2 linked regions of the Drosophila melanogaster genome follow. Each later gene encodes a partner of the first gene's protein in a complex. Each region holds a gene or a part of one and is shown on either strand. Other genes may lie near its edges.

Region 1 (6,065 bases):
AGTTTGCCAGAGTGGCGTTTGAAACACTGGAAGCTGATCTCGCATGTCATGAAAACCATTGATGCCCTACGCTGGGACTTGGCCACCTTTGAAGATTTCCGGGTGGATAATTTAGAACTGGCGGTGTGGTATTGGCAGGACGGTCTGTCTCATCTGACATTCCTAGGCACTGGTGCGCTCTTATAAATGTAAGTCCAAGACGAAAGCCTACTAATTATTGCTCTTTCACAGAATTCCGCCAGAGGATCTTAAACCAAGTGAGCAAATTGAAGCACAAGGACTTTTGGATCATCTACCTTAAAGAAGACACCTTAAAGGACACACGCTCCTTTCTCAAATTGCTAACTCAGTCCAGTGCACAGGAGGCTAACGATCTCTTCAACAAGCTCCTTAAAAAAAGGGCCGATTGTGCTGTTATGGGCGATCTTAGCGATGCAGTGGTCAAGGTGAACAGCGAGTCCGCTTTCATGGCCTTTAGATTCCTATTTCGAGAATATTTGATCGCCTTCCGGAGCCACGCCAAACACAATAAGACCATCACGAAGCGCCAGCATTGGGATCATTTGATGGCCGTTGTGGCCAAGGCTCCATTCTCCATTCGCAACGAGATTATGGAGCTAGCTAGTAAAGCCTTCGCTGTGCGATTCGGCATAAATATCCAGGAACAGCAGGCGGCCAAGTGTTAAGGAGATGCTGTTAGAAGTGTAATTTTCTTAAGCCAAATCGAAACACCGCCGCTAATCGACTAAAGACGTACATATATAATAATCATAACGCTAGGATGATGTTCAATCCAGATATCAGATTATTTTACAATTTTGTATGTCCTTTAAAAGGATGACTGTATGCACATAACATATGTACTACTGCCTTGCAAATTTTTTGTCTATTTAAAAAATACTTTGGCAAGCAAGTGAAGTTATTCAGATGAAAACTATTGCAATTTTGCATGTTCTTCATATTATTCGTATAATTATGTATTATATACATACATACATATATAAAATACAAAACGCTATGATCGAACATCAGAATAATATGTGTGAGGAGTCTACGTCCCCACAAATCTGGGTGCAGGGGAGCGGCCTTGGACGCCAGGAAAGCGGAGAGACTGTGAACTAACGGTACCGCGCTGGACCTTGGACTCGAGCCTGCCAAGGGCACGGAGGTCGAACAGTAACGGTGCGGACTTTGGACACGCACAAGAGGACACACATTGTGAACTAACGGCAAATTAGTTGGACGCGCAAAGGGGAAAATAACGGGATCCCCGCGGCCTATAAAGGAACGGCGCAAGTGCAGCTTGGGGCAGTCAGTCACAACACGCGAGGAGCCACACGTACGCGAGGATAGTCGAGGAGAGTACGGGCGCGAGTCGAGCCGTCAGGAGGCGGCCGCGCAATCGGAACGGCGTCTAAAGAAGAGAGACAGTGCGTTAGAACGCGCGGATACTACCATCAAGTTTTTTGTCTATTAAATAAATACTTTGGCAAGCTTGAAATTATTGTAATTTAGCATGTTCTTATTATTATTCGTATTCTTATGTACGAATTCCAAATCTATCTCTCGATTTCAAACTCAAGTGCCGCATGCGAATCGCATTATTTTAAATACTTTTGCTAAATAGGACCACTGTTTAAAAAACTGCAGTTGACTTTGGAGAAGTCGCAATATTTATAATGTCAATTATTAATTATCGAATAAAACATTACAATAATAATACAAATAATTAATTATCGAATAATACATTACAATACTTTATAAAATATCTTCATTTAATTTTCAGCTGAGCAAAATACAAAATATCATATGAAAATGTTTATAAATAAAGTTAAAGTTAAATCATAGCATGCAGTGGACAAGTCATATTAGTATCTATCTACATCAGAGAGTCTATTACAAAGCGAAATTTTTTGTTGTAGGGACATTTTCATTTTCAAAAAATATTCCTTGCACGCAAGATAATCGGTACGCACCGGTAAACTATCGATTTTCGATAGTCATCTGACAGAAGACGCACATAAAATTGAATTCCTTCGGAAGAGTTTTGACGAAACGCGAAATTTCGGCAGCACGATGATAACTGCTGAGAAGCACCCGCTGGACAATTGCCAGTTGTTTGTCCAGCTGAAGAAAATATTCCATGACAACAACGAACAGGCCAAGTGTCTGAAAGATATGATTTACTGGAGTGGTAAGTGAAGTACCAGAGGTTAGTGCCCAAATATGAACATTGTTTGTTCTCAGGAAACGATGAGCACATTGAGAAGATCTGCGACCAAGTGACGGACCTGCTGGAGGAGCACGATCTAATCATACAGCCGCCAGACACAATGGATCCTTTTGCTATGAATCAACTGCGTGGACTACTGGTGTACCTGGTGCTGAACACCGCACACGACTATTTCTTGTGCAAATCGCAGTGGAGCGCCAATGTCATGCATTTGTGTAACCAGCTTCCGCCTATCCCACTGTTCTTGACCATCGCAATAGCCGTTAACTGCTGTCTCATGGAGCCGCTGGAGGAATTCCTTGCTTGTGGACCCCGCTGGCTGACCATCCAGTATTTTGAGGCATTCAATGAGGCTCTGTCGGTCATTAATTCAGATTGCGTGGAAACACTACCGCTGCTCTCTGCCGCCCTCAGAGCAGCCGGTCGCGCAATTGTCAACTGCAATTTGCCCGCAGAAAATAAGCAACTGCTGCGCCAGATAGCCTGCATGGAACATCGTCATATCTTGGACTCTAAACAGCGCCTCCATACGCTGCCGCGTCCATCCACTCGAAAGATTTACCTGGCCAAGGCTATGGATCACCTTATAGAAGTCCTTTTGTATACCCTCAATGATCCATTAAAGCGGGAGAAACCAAATTGCTTCGCCGTCTACAGCCAAATAACCGAGGACATCAGTGACAGCAACTCAAGCGATCCCATGCCTGATCTGCGGCATTTCGCCCAAATACTGCTAGACGTTCTGCAGCGTATCTTTCAGCTCGTTAGCGTAGACACGTATATGTATTGGCATGAAATGAAATCGAAAAGTGCTTTGTATAACTGCCAGGAGCTAATCTGTAGACAGACGGCAGAATTGCTTAAAGTACTCCAATCAGATAAGTTGCTCGGAGAGCATCCGGTTTGCAAGCAGATGCAGAGCTTTGCGGATGCAGCAAAAACATTGGAGCAGCGCGTTGCCGAGATGAGAATGGGTGAACTCTTAGTCTTTCTCGATTCCGGTATGGCCACCGATGAGGAGTTGCTCGCCGGGCTGGACAATCTCTTTAGCCGCTTCATAGCCTTTGGTAACGATGAGTGCGTGGAAACGATGGCAAATCATTTAATTATGCTCACCAAGAAACATGCCCAGATAATACTCAGTTTCCTGGGTCAGGTGGTGGAGTCCGAAATGGTGGTCGAGGACGAGGGCATATCCGTTACGGAAGTAAATCAGGGGGATGACGAGGACGAGACCTCGTCCAACGATGATTACGAAGAGCTGCTAAGCCTAGTACTGCGTCCCTTATTTATGCAATTAAATGTCGAGGACAAGATGGAAGTACTGCTATTGCGCGATGAGCAAAACGTTACCCAAGGATTTAATTTCAAGGCTCCCGATCATCGGGAGCGTCGCATACGCTTCTTTAATCAATTGGATTATAATAAGCGCTTCCCGATAACCAAATTTCTAGTACTGTGCTTTGAGAACGCAAGACAGACCTGGATTGATTTCTCCCACTTGGGCGTGACGCATACTCGCTTCTCGAAGCTATTCTGGCACATAGCTCAGTCTTGTCCCAAGCATGCTGCTTTTCATATTTCCGCCTGTGCCGATAACATCTTGGTGAACGAGCAACTACTTCAAAAGCCGTATGCCTTGCAGTTTACACTCTACCTATATGGCCACCGACAGATCCTCAACGGTCTCTACACGTCAGCGCGACAACTGTGCGTTAGTTTGAAAGACGGACGGTGTCCCTACGGAGAGGATGAGCTTAGGCAGGCGCAAAATAGGTTCCTAGACGCGTGTGCCTACGGTTTGGCCAAGTTTATAGAGCCCATGAACTTGCCCAGCTTGCAGTTAATCTTGAAACTGCTCAAGCAGATTAGTCTGGGTGAAAGCAATCTAATCACCCGAGGCACTGCAGAGTTAAATGCACTCGAAAAGGAGCACCCGAAATTGGAGAACGGAGACGATGCACCAGCTGTCAAGGTGGCCAAGCACTACACATATCTGAATGCCAGCTTGCCAGAGTGGCGTTTGAAACACTGGAAGCTGATCTCGCATGTCATGAAAACCATTGATGCCCTACGCTGGGACTTGGCCACCTTTGAAGATTTCCGGGTGGATAATTTAGAACTGGCGGTGTGGTATTGGCAGGACGGTCTGTCTCATCTGACATTCCTAGGCACTGGTGCGCTCTTATAAATGTAAGTCCAAGACGAAAGCCTACTAATTATTGCTCTTTCACAGAATGCCGCCAGAGGATCTTGAACCAAGTGAACAGTTTAAAGCACAAGGGCTTTTGGCTCATCTACCTTAAAGAAGACACCTTAAAGGACACACGCTCCTTTCTCAAATTGCTAACTCAGTCCAGTGCACAGGAGGCTAACGATCTCTTCAACAAGCTCCTTAAAAAAAGGGCCGATTGTGCTGTTATGGGCGATCTTAGCGATGCAGTGGTCAAGGTGAACAGCGAGTCCGCTTTCATGGCCTTTAGATTCCTATTTCGAGAATATTTGATCGCCTTCCGGAGCCACGCCAAACACAATAAGACCATCACGAAGCGCCAGCATTGGGATCATTTGATGGCCGTTGTGGCCAAGGCTCCATTCTCCATTCGCAACGAGATTATGAAGCTAGCTAGTAAAGCCTTCGCTGTGCGATTCGGCATAAATATCCAGGAACAGCAGGCGGCCAAGTGTTAAGGAGATGCTGTTAGAAGTGTAATTTTCTTAAGCCAAATCGAAATTCCGCCGCTTGTCCAACACTTTAATTCTTAGGCAGTCAGATCTCTATATGACTAAAAACATATATAATATTCATAACGCTAGGATTGAACATCAGAATAATTTGATATCAGATTATTTTACAACTTTGTATGTCCTTTAAAAGGGCGACTGTATGCACATAACAAATGTACCACTACCATGCAAATTTTTTGTCTTACTAAAAATACTTTGGCAAGCAAGTGAAGTTATTCAGCTGAAAATTAATAAAATTTTGCATGTTCTTTTTTTTTCGTATTATTATGTATTATATATATAATATACAAAACGCTATGATTGAACATCAGAATAATTTGATATCAGGTTATTTTACAACTTTGTGTGTCCTTAAGGCCGACTATATTTACATAAAATATGTAATACTACCATCAAATACAAATTTGTGTTCTATTAAATAAATGCTTTGGCAAGCTTAAAATTATTGTAATTTTGCATGTTCTTATTTTTATTCGTATTTTTATGTATTACTTCGACTGCTTTGCTTCCTGTTGCAAAATTGTAACTTAAAACTAGGAAAATTTATTTTAATACATTTTTAAATTTCATGTACTCGTTATGTTATAAATTTAACTAATTTATATTCTGTCAAAAGCTGAATGGCATTATTCAGGGAAAGGAAAATTTTGGTGCAAATTGTTATTAATAACATTTTCAAATTACCTAAATAAAAAAAAAAATAGAAAAAATATCTTGTCTTAAAAAACACTATATATATTTTACAAGGTAATTTAACGACCAATGCTTGACAAGTATCGAAAAGATTTCAAACTCAAATGCCGCATGCGAATCGCATTATTTTAAATACATTTGCTAAATAGGACCACTGTTTAAAAAACTGCAGTTGACTTTGGAGAAGTCGCAATATTTATAATGTCAATTATTAATTATCGAATAAAACATTACAATAATAATACAAATAATTAATTATCGAATAATACATTACAATACTTTATAAAATATCTTCATTTAATTTTCAGCTGAGCAAAATACAAAATATCATATGAAAATGTTTATAAATAAAGTTAAAGTTAAATCATAGCAAGCAGTGGACAAGTCATAT
Region 2 (8,119 bases), on another chromosome or scaffold:
CGACTGGCCTCCACGGTCATTGACCTGGCCACTCCTGGCTACTATGAAATAGTGCGCGCCGGCGTGGCTCTCAAGCCGACACTCAGCCTCATGGAGGAGTTCGGCATTCGGGAGCTAAAAATGATGTAGTATAAGAGCTATTCCTTTGGCTTTAACTTTAATTTTTACTTTGGAACATCCTACTTTGCTTTGCATGCGGGAACACAACAAATTGTTTATAAAATATACGGTTCAGTATGTACACAATTGGAACTATCTTGGGCGCAGGCTCTCCGCCAGTTGGTCAGTCTAGTTGTAGTAGTTGCTGGAGTTCTTGGAGGCCTGTATGGGTCTCCGTCGCCGCGGCAGTTCGTTCTCCAGTATTCGCCAGCGTTCCGGTGGCCACACGATGGCCACTGCCCGCGCGGACATCAGGCCCAGGGCGACGGGTCCAAAGGTATTGCTGTCCATGGAGTGGCCTGTGTGATCGCCCTCCACCCAACAATGTCCTTCGGGTACGCGAACGATCTCGTGCTTGTAGCCCAGCGTGGACACGACGTCGCCCTGCAGCCCCACCACGCGCTTGATAATCTTCTGGGCGGGATCCTTGGGTGAAATGAGCGATATTATGTCGCCGCGCTCCACCTGACTGTTGTGGGTGCCCCAGCGCAGCAGGAACACATAGTCCTTTTCATCCGGCACGGGATTGAGAGCGGGCTGCATGGAGATGCCTGCAAAAAGTTGTGGATTAATTAGCGCACACTAACATGGAGCGAATAAACTCCGGACGACTCACCATCCACCCTGGCCACATAACCAACGCAGTCCAGGAAAGTGACGCCAAGTGGCAGAGCGTACAGCAAGGACTTGCCAAAGAACCGAAATGCCATGGATGAACTGGTTGGAGAGCGGAGCTATCGAGATGAATACATAACCACCAGCCTTTTGCCGAGTTCCTTGTGCGCTCCGGATCTTATGACATTCGCAGCGCAGCGCCGACACGGGTTTTGTTTATGCTAAATACAGGGTGCTTCAATAAAGGCGATGCAGAGGTTCTTGAGCAGATTACGTTTATTGAGGAAGGATATTTGCCAGCTATTGTACTTTAGTTACAGGTGTTTTTTTCCGTTTTGGGTTTATTGTAATTTTGACAGAAACAGGAATGTGACTGGGCAATCGTTCAGCAGCCCTCCAGCTCGCTGGGAATGGGTATCTCGTTCTGGATGGCGAACTGCAGCAGCGCCTTGTACTTGTTCTTCCAGTTGGACACCTCGCGGCGCACCTGCTCGTTGTCCTCGTGCATCTGCTCCAGTTCCGTCCACTCGTACGACTTCTTAGTCTCCAGCTCGTCCTTCTGTTCGATTCTCTTGATGCGGCAACTGGCTGCGTATCCGCGATTCTTTAAGGTTCTCCGGCGCTGCTTCATCCGAACGATCTCCTCGCGGTTCAGGCCACGCATCTTGAGGGTCCGATTAAGATCCCTTACCGAAATGCTCACCAAATCGTCATCGGTAATATCCGGAATTGGACATGGCGAAAGTGGTGCCTGAAAATCGCACTTCTATCAGGGTTTTCTTTCTTCTTCGCATATATCTACAAGGTACGTACCAGGGATGACTTTCTCTCGCGCTTTGCTTCCATTGTGGCCGATTGTATTTTATTTTTACGGAGACTTTTAGAATTTGCTAGATTTTTCTACCTTTTTTTTTTGCGTTGTTATTGTGTGTCTTCTTCTTCCTCTCTACCTGCTGGTTGCCATTCACAGGAAATGGATTGCATAGAGTTGGCAGATAGACAAAAAACGTCTGTGGTAAATAGCGGGTAATTTAAATATACTAAAGCTAACGTGATCCCTAGATTTTAGGCTTTGTAGCATAAGGTACTTAGTTATATTTTTAAATTATTTATATAAAGCAGATCCAGATTTTTGTTATAAATACAAGTTCGAAAATAACAAATTTATATTTTAATTATTATCAATTTTAATTAACTGTTAAGTTCCGTGCCTTCCAGGTGGCATCGCTGGCAAAGTTTAAGAAGCTGCCTAACACTAACAGCTTTACAGAAGTTTTTTCCCCGAACGACGCCAACTGTTAGCGGGAAATATTCCTTCATCCTGCAGATGCCAAGTCCTTATTGTTCGCCATGAACTCGCAGGTGATGTACCACAATGTGCCCACACCGCCGGGCAACGTATCTTTGGCGGCCGCTGCTCCCGACGGCGGTTTGCTGTACGCCGGCATTCGCTGCATCAACTACATATCCGCGCCGCCGGCAAACGGAGAGCAGCCCCAAGTGGTGACCATGTCGACGCGGATCAACATACTGGCCCTGGACGTTAGTCCCATGTGGGGCTTGGGCAACGGTGGGCCGACCAAGCCATTCGCCATTGTGGGCGACGATCTAAGCGTTCAGGTGTGGGACTGCGCATTGGGCGAAGCCGTCATCGGGCACAAGGCCCATCAGCACCAGCACGAGGCGCGGGATGTGCGCGTCGTGCACCACACTACCAACTCCGTGCTGATGAGCTACCTGGCCAATGGTAACATTCTATCCATGGACGCCAGTGATCTGGTCATCTATTGTGTGGCATCCAACACCTACTGCCGTCGCTCCACTTTCATCTCGCCCCGAAATCACCAACTCACTATGGTGCGCTGCTCGCCCTACAATGACAATTTGTTCGCTGTGGGAACGGCTATGGGTAATGTGCTGGTCTGCGATCTGCGCAAAATGAACATCGTCTACAAGTTCCACGGCCACAAAGCGCCCATATGCGGCTTAGCCTGGCGGGAGGTGCCTGCTGCCGAGGACGAAAAAACCAATAATCTGGCGTTAAGTGCTGAAGAGTGGCGAAGCCGCAATGGCGGCCAGGAGGAGAAACCCAAGACAAAGCCACCACCACTGACCAAATCGAAGGCAGCCGAATCCGACGACCCTTTCGACATATACAACTTTGATCATCTTGAGTACGAGTTCGGTGCACCTATAGCTGAACGCCGCCGCAAATCTTCAGAGGATTGTGGCGGCGAATTTGTGGGTCTAGAGAAGCCAGCTGGTGCCGCTGTCTTAGATTTCGTTGAGGCCTGCGAGAGTGTGAAAGCCGAACTCTTAGCCAGTCGCCAGGAGGATAAAACGCAGCACGTGGAGGTCACGCTGCATGACTGCGAGCCCACAAAGCCTACGGGTCCCTTAAGTGATGCCAGCACCATTAGCAACAAGAACGATGCCAGCGACTCGACCGAGGGCAGTCTGGAGGTCATCCAGTACAGCTCGTCCAGTGATGATGCCGTGATCGTCGATGGCGAGGCAGCAAAGCCCAAAAGAGAAGTATTGCATCACATCTACCACCAGGCCGAGGTACATGCTTCAGGAACACCGCAGACCAAGTCTGAGCCTCAGAGTAATCTCCAAGTTGTGCCGGCCATCAGCGCGGAGACCATCAGCTTGACATCCGTGAACAGCACCCACTTGGAAACTCTGCTCGTGTCCATTGACGGCGATGAGGTGATGATGATCTGGAATACCAATACGGGAGCGCATGCTGGCAAGAACTACAGCAAAAGCAAGACGGCGGGTAAGTGGAAAGAATCAAACCATTGAAAGCAAGCATTCAACTGGGATCTTTTCTTCAGGCAAGCTTAACAACGTCTACTGGCTGAACAACCATGTCATTGTTTCCCTGAGTCGCCATCAGTTATTCTTTTGGTCCGTGGAGTTCGAGCGCAAGATGCTACGCTACAAGATCAGCAAGGATAAATCACACAGCTGCCATTTGCAAGACATCGTGTCCTTTGCCTGTGACTCCAGCAAAGAGATGATATGGTTGTGCAGAAACAATCGCCAGATTGGAATGATGAATCCTAAAACTGGCCGGATGGCTGACTTTTACGGAACAGTGGCGTTTGGAGTGCGAGCGATGGCCGAGTGTCCAGATGATATGAACAAGTAAGCTAATAAGATAATATGCCATTCGCAAACGTTGCTAAACTGTTTTTCGTTTAGAATCGCTTTGGGTTGTTCGGATCGCCGTGTGGCCTTCTTCGATATATCGAAGCTCACCACCAGCTGCCTGCCCATCGACAGCGTTTATGTGTCCAGCAACGTCTACTGCCTGGCTTGGAGTCCAAACTGCTTGGAACTGGCCTTTGGCACCTTCGACGGAACGGTATGGCTTTGATTTCGTCTATTTTATTGGATATTGAACCTAAATATACAACTCAACAACAGGTGGGCATCCTGGATGTGGAGCGCATGAAAGTAAAGACACACTTACGGACGCCGCACAAAAAAGAAGTCTACTCGCTTGTGTGGCAGGACCACTTTATATACTTTATTGTGAATCGTGTTCTAGGTTTCTTTGATTTAAGAAAATCGAAAATCGGTGAGTATATGTTCTTAGCCGTTCTCTACTTATGTTGCCGACAGTTGTAGGTTTGATTCTGTGCGTTGCGCCTTCCGTAACTAATGTTGGTCTGCGCGTCGTTGGTCTGCTTCTTACGTATATTGGCCAAGTGGATTGTCTCCCGATGATAATCCCACGCATTCCATGTTACGTTTATCCAGTTTGCTGGCGTTAGGTCGTTGGTGACGACCATTTCGGTTTGACACTCAAAATCTGTCTGCTTTGGTGGCTCAACTACCAGATTCTGCAGTTCCTGCTCTATTAGCGCATCGTCCAATTTGAACAGCAGAGCCAGGTTCGCATTGTTGAAAACCACTTTTCTAAAGGCGGCTATGAAAGGCTCAAATCGCAGCTCCGCGAATCGAGCGTATCTTGGGTCCCGGAAACCAAATGTAATGTCCACATTGGAGCACAGCTTTCTGGTCACCTGGGCCGGCATAAGCAGGCCGTTGGTAATGGTCATGGCTAGAGAGCAAAACTCCTTTATATCTGCCTTGTTGAGCTTGCAAAAGTTGCCATCGGTCTGCAACTCCTTCACGGCATCCATGCGTTCCTCAAAGCTGCAGACCTTGGGCTTCTTTATCCGCTTATGAAGCGCCTGCAGCTCGGCAATCGTAGCCTTTGTCAGGGTCATCAAGTCGTCGACGACCAATGCCTCCACCTGCTCCCTCAGCTTGTTTAACTCAACAATGTGGTTCAGGTAGTTGTTCAGATTGCCCCACACCTGAGAGAGGTACACAAAGTGCGGCTGAAAGCGGGAAACGAAATTGGAGAAATTCTCATCTTTTAAATGAATACATCACTTACAAATATAAGCTCCGAATCAATAGCCGTGCGCATGGATAGGGTATCATCAATCTTGCAGATCACGCATTGATATCGCTTATGCTCCACTTCAATTAGGTACACTGTCTTCTGGTAATGTTCGTTCAGAGTCGTCAGACAGCGATGGAGCATAAAGTAGGTCGCCGCAAACTGGTTAAGCCGATCCAAATGTTCGAGGGGCACGCGGTAGGTCAAGGTCTCGTCCTTATGATCTATGTTTATGAGGTCATCCAGTGCCGCCTGGCAAGTGGACTGCATCTTGACCGCCCTTCCCATACTGGCTGCAAATGCGGCTTCCGTGTTCTTCTGGGCCATTTCCAGATCATCGACCACTAAGAAGTATACAGCAGATATGAAATATGAAATGGTTTGCCCTATATGCACATACCGCTTCTAACATTCTCCCGATCTCCATCGGGGCCATCGTTGTTATAGATCACAATGCCGCCCACGGTCGCCGACAAGCGTTGAAGATACTCTAGCCGATGGTACTTCTTCTTCAGGACATAATTCTGTAGGTCACTTCGACCGATGACGCTGTTGAGAGCCTGGGCAGTCAGCTTAAGCAGAACATGATTCTTGGGCGAGCCCAGACTGTAGCAGGCCACTATGAAGACCTGCATCTTTGCGAAGAGCTGGTCCAACTGCACTTTACTGCAAGTCTCGGGATACTGAAGGATATCCTTGATTAGCAGCTGCAGTTCGGTTTGGAACTTTTCCTCGTACTTCTTCTTGACGTATTCAAGGTCTATGGTTACTCCCTTTTTCATTACCCAAGCCATCTTCATGTTGGCCATAGTGCAATCTTTCGAATTGACATAGCTATCCACAATTGTATTCACGAAACCCTCAATGGCACAGGCGGTTGGCTTATTGAGGTCGTACTTCAGGAGACCTTTGCGCCGATCTCTTGCCAGCAAATGAACCATGTAGATGACAAACTCCTTGTCGACCCTGAGATCCAACTGTTTGAAGCGCTTCATAATACGATGACCAATGCTCACTAGAGTTTTGTGTCGCGGCATTTTGGTAAACAGAACAATTTAACCTATTTCGATGAAAGGAAATGTGTAATGTGGTTTGCTTGCTAAGTTTTTGATACGTGTGATATTTGTTGCCCTTGGCTACAGTTTAATCGATTTCATTTTCTTCAAGTAGCACAAATTACTCATGCCATCGAGCTTTTGTTATTCGAGACTTTTAGGCTTGTTTTAATTAATTGTTTCCCACAAATCATTAAAATGATCGCACAATTAGGTGCGGACCTAAAAGACAACAATGGACTTAAAACAAAGAGTTTTTCGTCATTCTGACTAGATTTAATTGTGTTTTAAGTTAATGGATGTATGTATTACTTAAAGGTAAAGCTAGTCAAAGATACATATAAAGTTAATTTAAAATATGCCATTATTATTTTCTTACAGAGCCCACAATTGTGAACTGCATTTCTCGACCCAGTTACCTCAGCATCCGCGATTCTTTCCTTTTTGTTGGCACCGATGATGGACTGCTGCAGATCCATGAGCGCGATTCGGGAATGGAGAAGTCGTGGTCTCCATTTATCCGCCAATCCGCTTTGTTTGCTCGTTATGTGACCGATATCGCCTGGTGCCCGCTGGACAGCAATAAGTTTGCAGTGTCGGGCAACGATAGGTCCGTGTACGTGATGGAGTTTCAGCCCACGGAGCGCAATTGGAAAACGCTTCACACATTTACGGCAAACACAGAGAAGGCGTCGATTACCTCGATGAGATGGAGTCATACCCAGAAGCACTTGCTGCTCACCTTTCATATCGAGGGAAAGGTGTGCCTGTGGAACTGCAATGCGCCAGAGAAGCCACCGCTAACCATCACCTACCACTGCCCCATGTGGTGTGGAATGTTTTTGCCCACCAACGAGAACATCATTATGTGCTCGGGAAAAGCTCTCTCCGTGGAGCTAATTGACATTAAGGACGCGCTGGAAGGCGATGAGAAAAGCATCTGTCCCAAGGTGGATGCTCTGTTAAATGTTAAGTGGGCTAGCAAATCCCTGACCCAGCCATACGCTCCAGTTCTCACAGCGGCTGAAAAGAAACGGCAGCGCCGGGATCAACGCAAAGCAGCGGCTAAGCTCGAAGTTGACGTAGCTAACAAGGATCAAAAGAAAATTCAGGAGTCAGTTACTGCAGTTATTGATAATCCAACCAACGATAAATGTACGCAAGAAACTCCTGTTGAAGAGATGTTGGAAGCGCTTAGCTTGGACAAGGAGCAAAATAATAGAAGTGCCAAAGAATGCCCAAAGTGTAAAGAGCAGTCACCTGACAGTTTCACAGTAAGTTATCCATGTGCTCTTGATTCGACTGAAACCCAATAACATATTTACCAACAGCATAGCCGCACCTGTCTTTACCTTACCCAGAAGGAGCTCAACAAAAGTGCCCTTGAGAAGCTGGCCATTGTTCTTACAGAAGACTCTGCCAAGATCGACAAGTCGGTGCTCATATCGAAGCTGTTCAGCTCAAAAGTGATGGCCAAGGAGCTCATTGCAACCGAGTGTAATTTCACTAACTGACTTATAGTATTTAAAATGCTAACGATAAATGTAATATTTCAGTGACCAATCTGAAGCACTCAAACACCAAAGACATAGCTCCACTTTGCCTGGCCATGTCCACGTTCAAATTACGCGAGGAGCTGGAGCAGCATATAGCCAACAAGACGCTTACCGAACGCCATGTTTCGCTGGCTCCCTCCGTTTCTTTTACGTAAGTTTCTACGTTTTTGTTGTAAATCGGTTTTGTCTTTAGTCTATATTTCTTGCAGACTTTGGCAGGACTGCTGTCGCGCTTATGCCAAGCAGATGGAGGAAAAAGGCTACATCATGCACGCAGCTACGTATCTTTTTAGTCAAGGAATGCAATCGGA

Evidence for each region.
Region 2: Gem4b (region 1) and rig share a complex: the UniProt entries of both Drosophila melanogaster proteins name them as parts of the core survival motor neuron (SMN) complex.

What each region holds. Positions count from the first base shown.
Region 1 is NC_004354.4:3,938,984-3,945,048, forward strand, and holds Gem4b (gemin 4b), read left to right. Parts: upstream 1-1,863; 5' UTR 1,864-2,076; coding exon 2,077-2,194; intron 2,195-2,247; coding exon 2,248-4,410; intron 4,411-4,469; coding exon 4,470-4,924; 3' UTR 4,925-5,282; downstream 5,283-6,065. Other genes in the region: Glos (gaulos), read left to right, coding at 1-172, 232-686. UniProt on the Drosophila melanogaster protein: Component of the survival motor neuron (SMN) complex that catalyzes the assembly of small nuclear ribonucleoproteins (snRNPs), the building blocks of the spliceosome, and thereby plays an important role in the splicing of cellular pre-mRNAs.
Region 2 is NT_033778.4:20,634,587-20,642,705, reverse strand, and holds the start of rig (rigor mortis), read left to right. Parts: upstream 1-2,024; 5' UTR 2,025-2,124; coding exon 2,125-3,556; intron 3,557-3,614; coding exon 3,615-3,927; intron 3,928-3,984; coding exon 3,985-4,147; intron 4,148-4,209; coding exon 4,210-4,363; exon of another isoform or gene 4,364-4,388; coding exon of another isoform or gene 4,389-5,132; intron 5,133-5,191; coding exon of another isoform or gene 5,192-5,541; intron 5,542-5,597; coding exon of another isoform or gene 5,598-6,234; exon of another isoform or gene 6,235-6,314; intron 6,315-6,633; coding exon 6,634-7,526; intron 7,527-7,583; coding exon 7,584-7,749; intron 7,750-7,808; coding exon 7,809-7,959; intron 7,960-8,017; coding exon 8,018-8,119. Other genes in the region: Tcs1 (Threonyl-carbamoyl synthesis 1), read left to right, coding at 1-129; CG11110 (uncharacterized protein), read right to left, coding at 289-710, 776-869; maf-S, read right to left, coding at 1,160-1,540, 1,588-1,620; CG13436 (uncharacterized protein), read right to left, coding at 4,389-5,132, 5,192-5,541, 5,598-6,234. UniProt on the Drosophila melanogaster protein: Component of the survival motor neuron (SMN) complex that catalyzes the assembly of small nuclear ribonucleoproteins (snRNPs), the building blocks of the spliceosome, and thereby plays an important role in the splicing of cellular pre-mRNAs.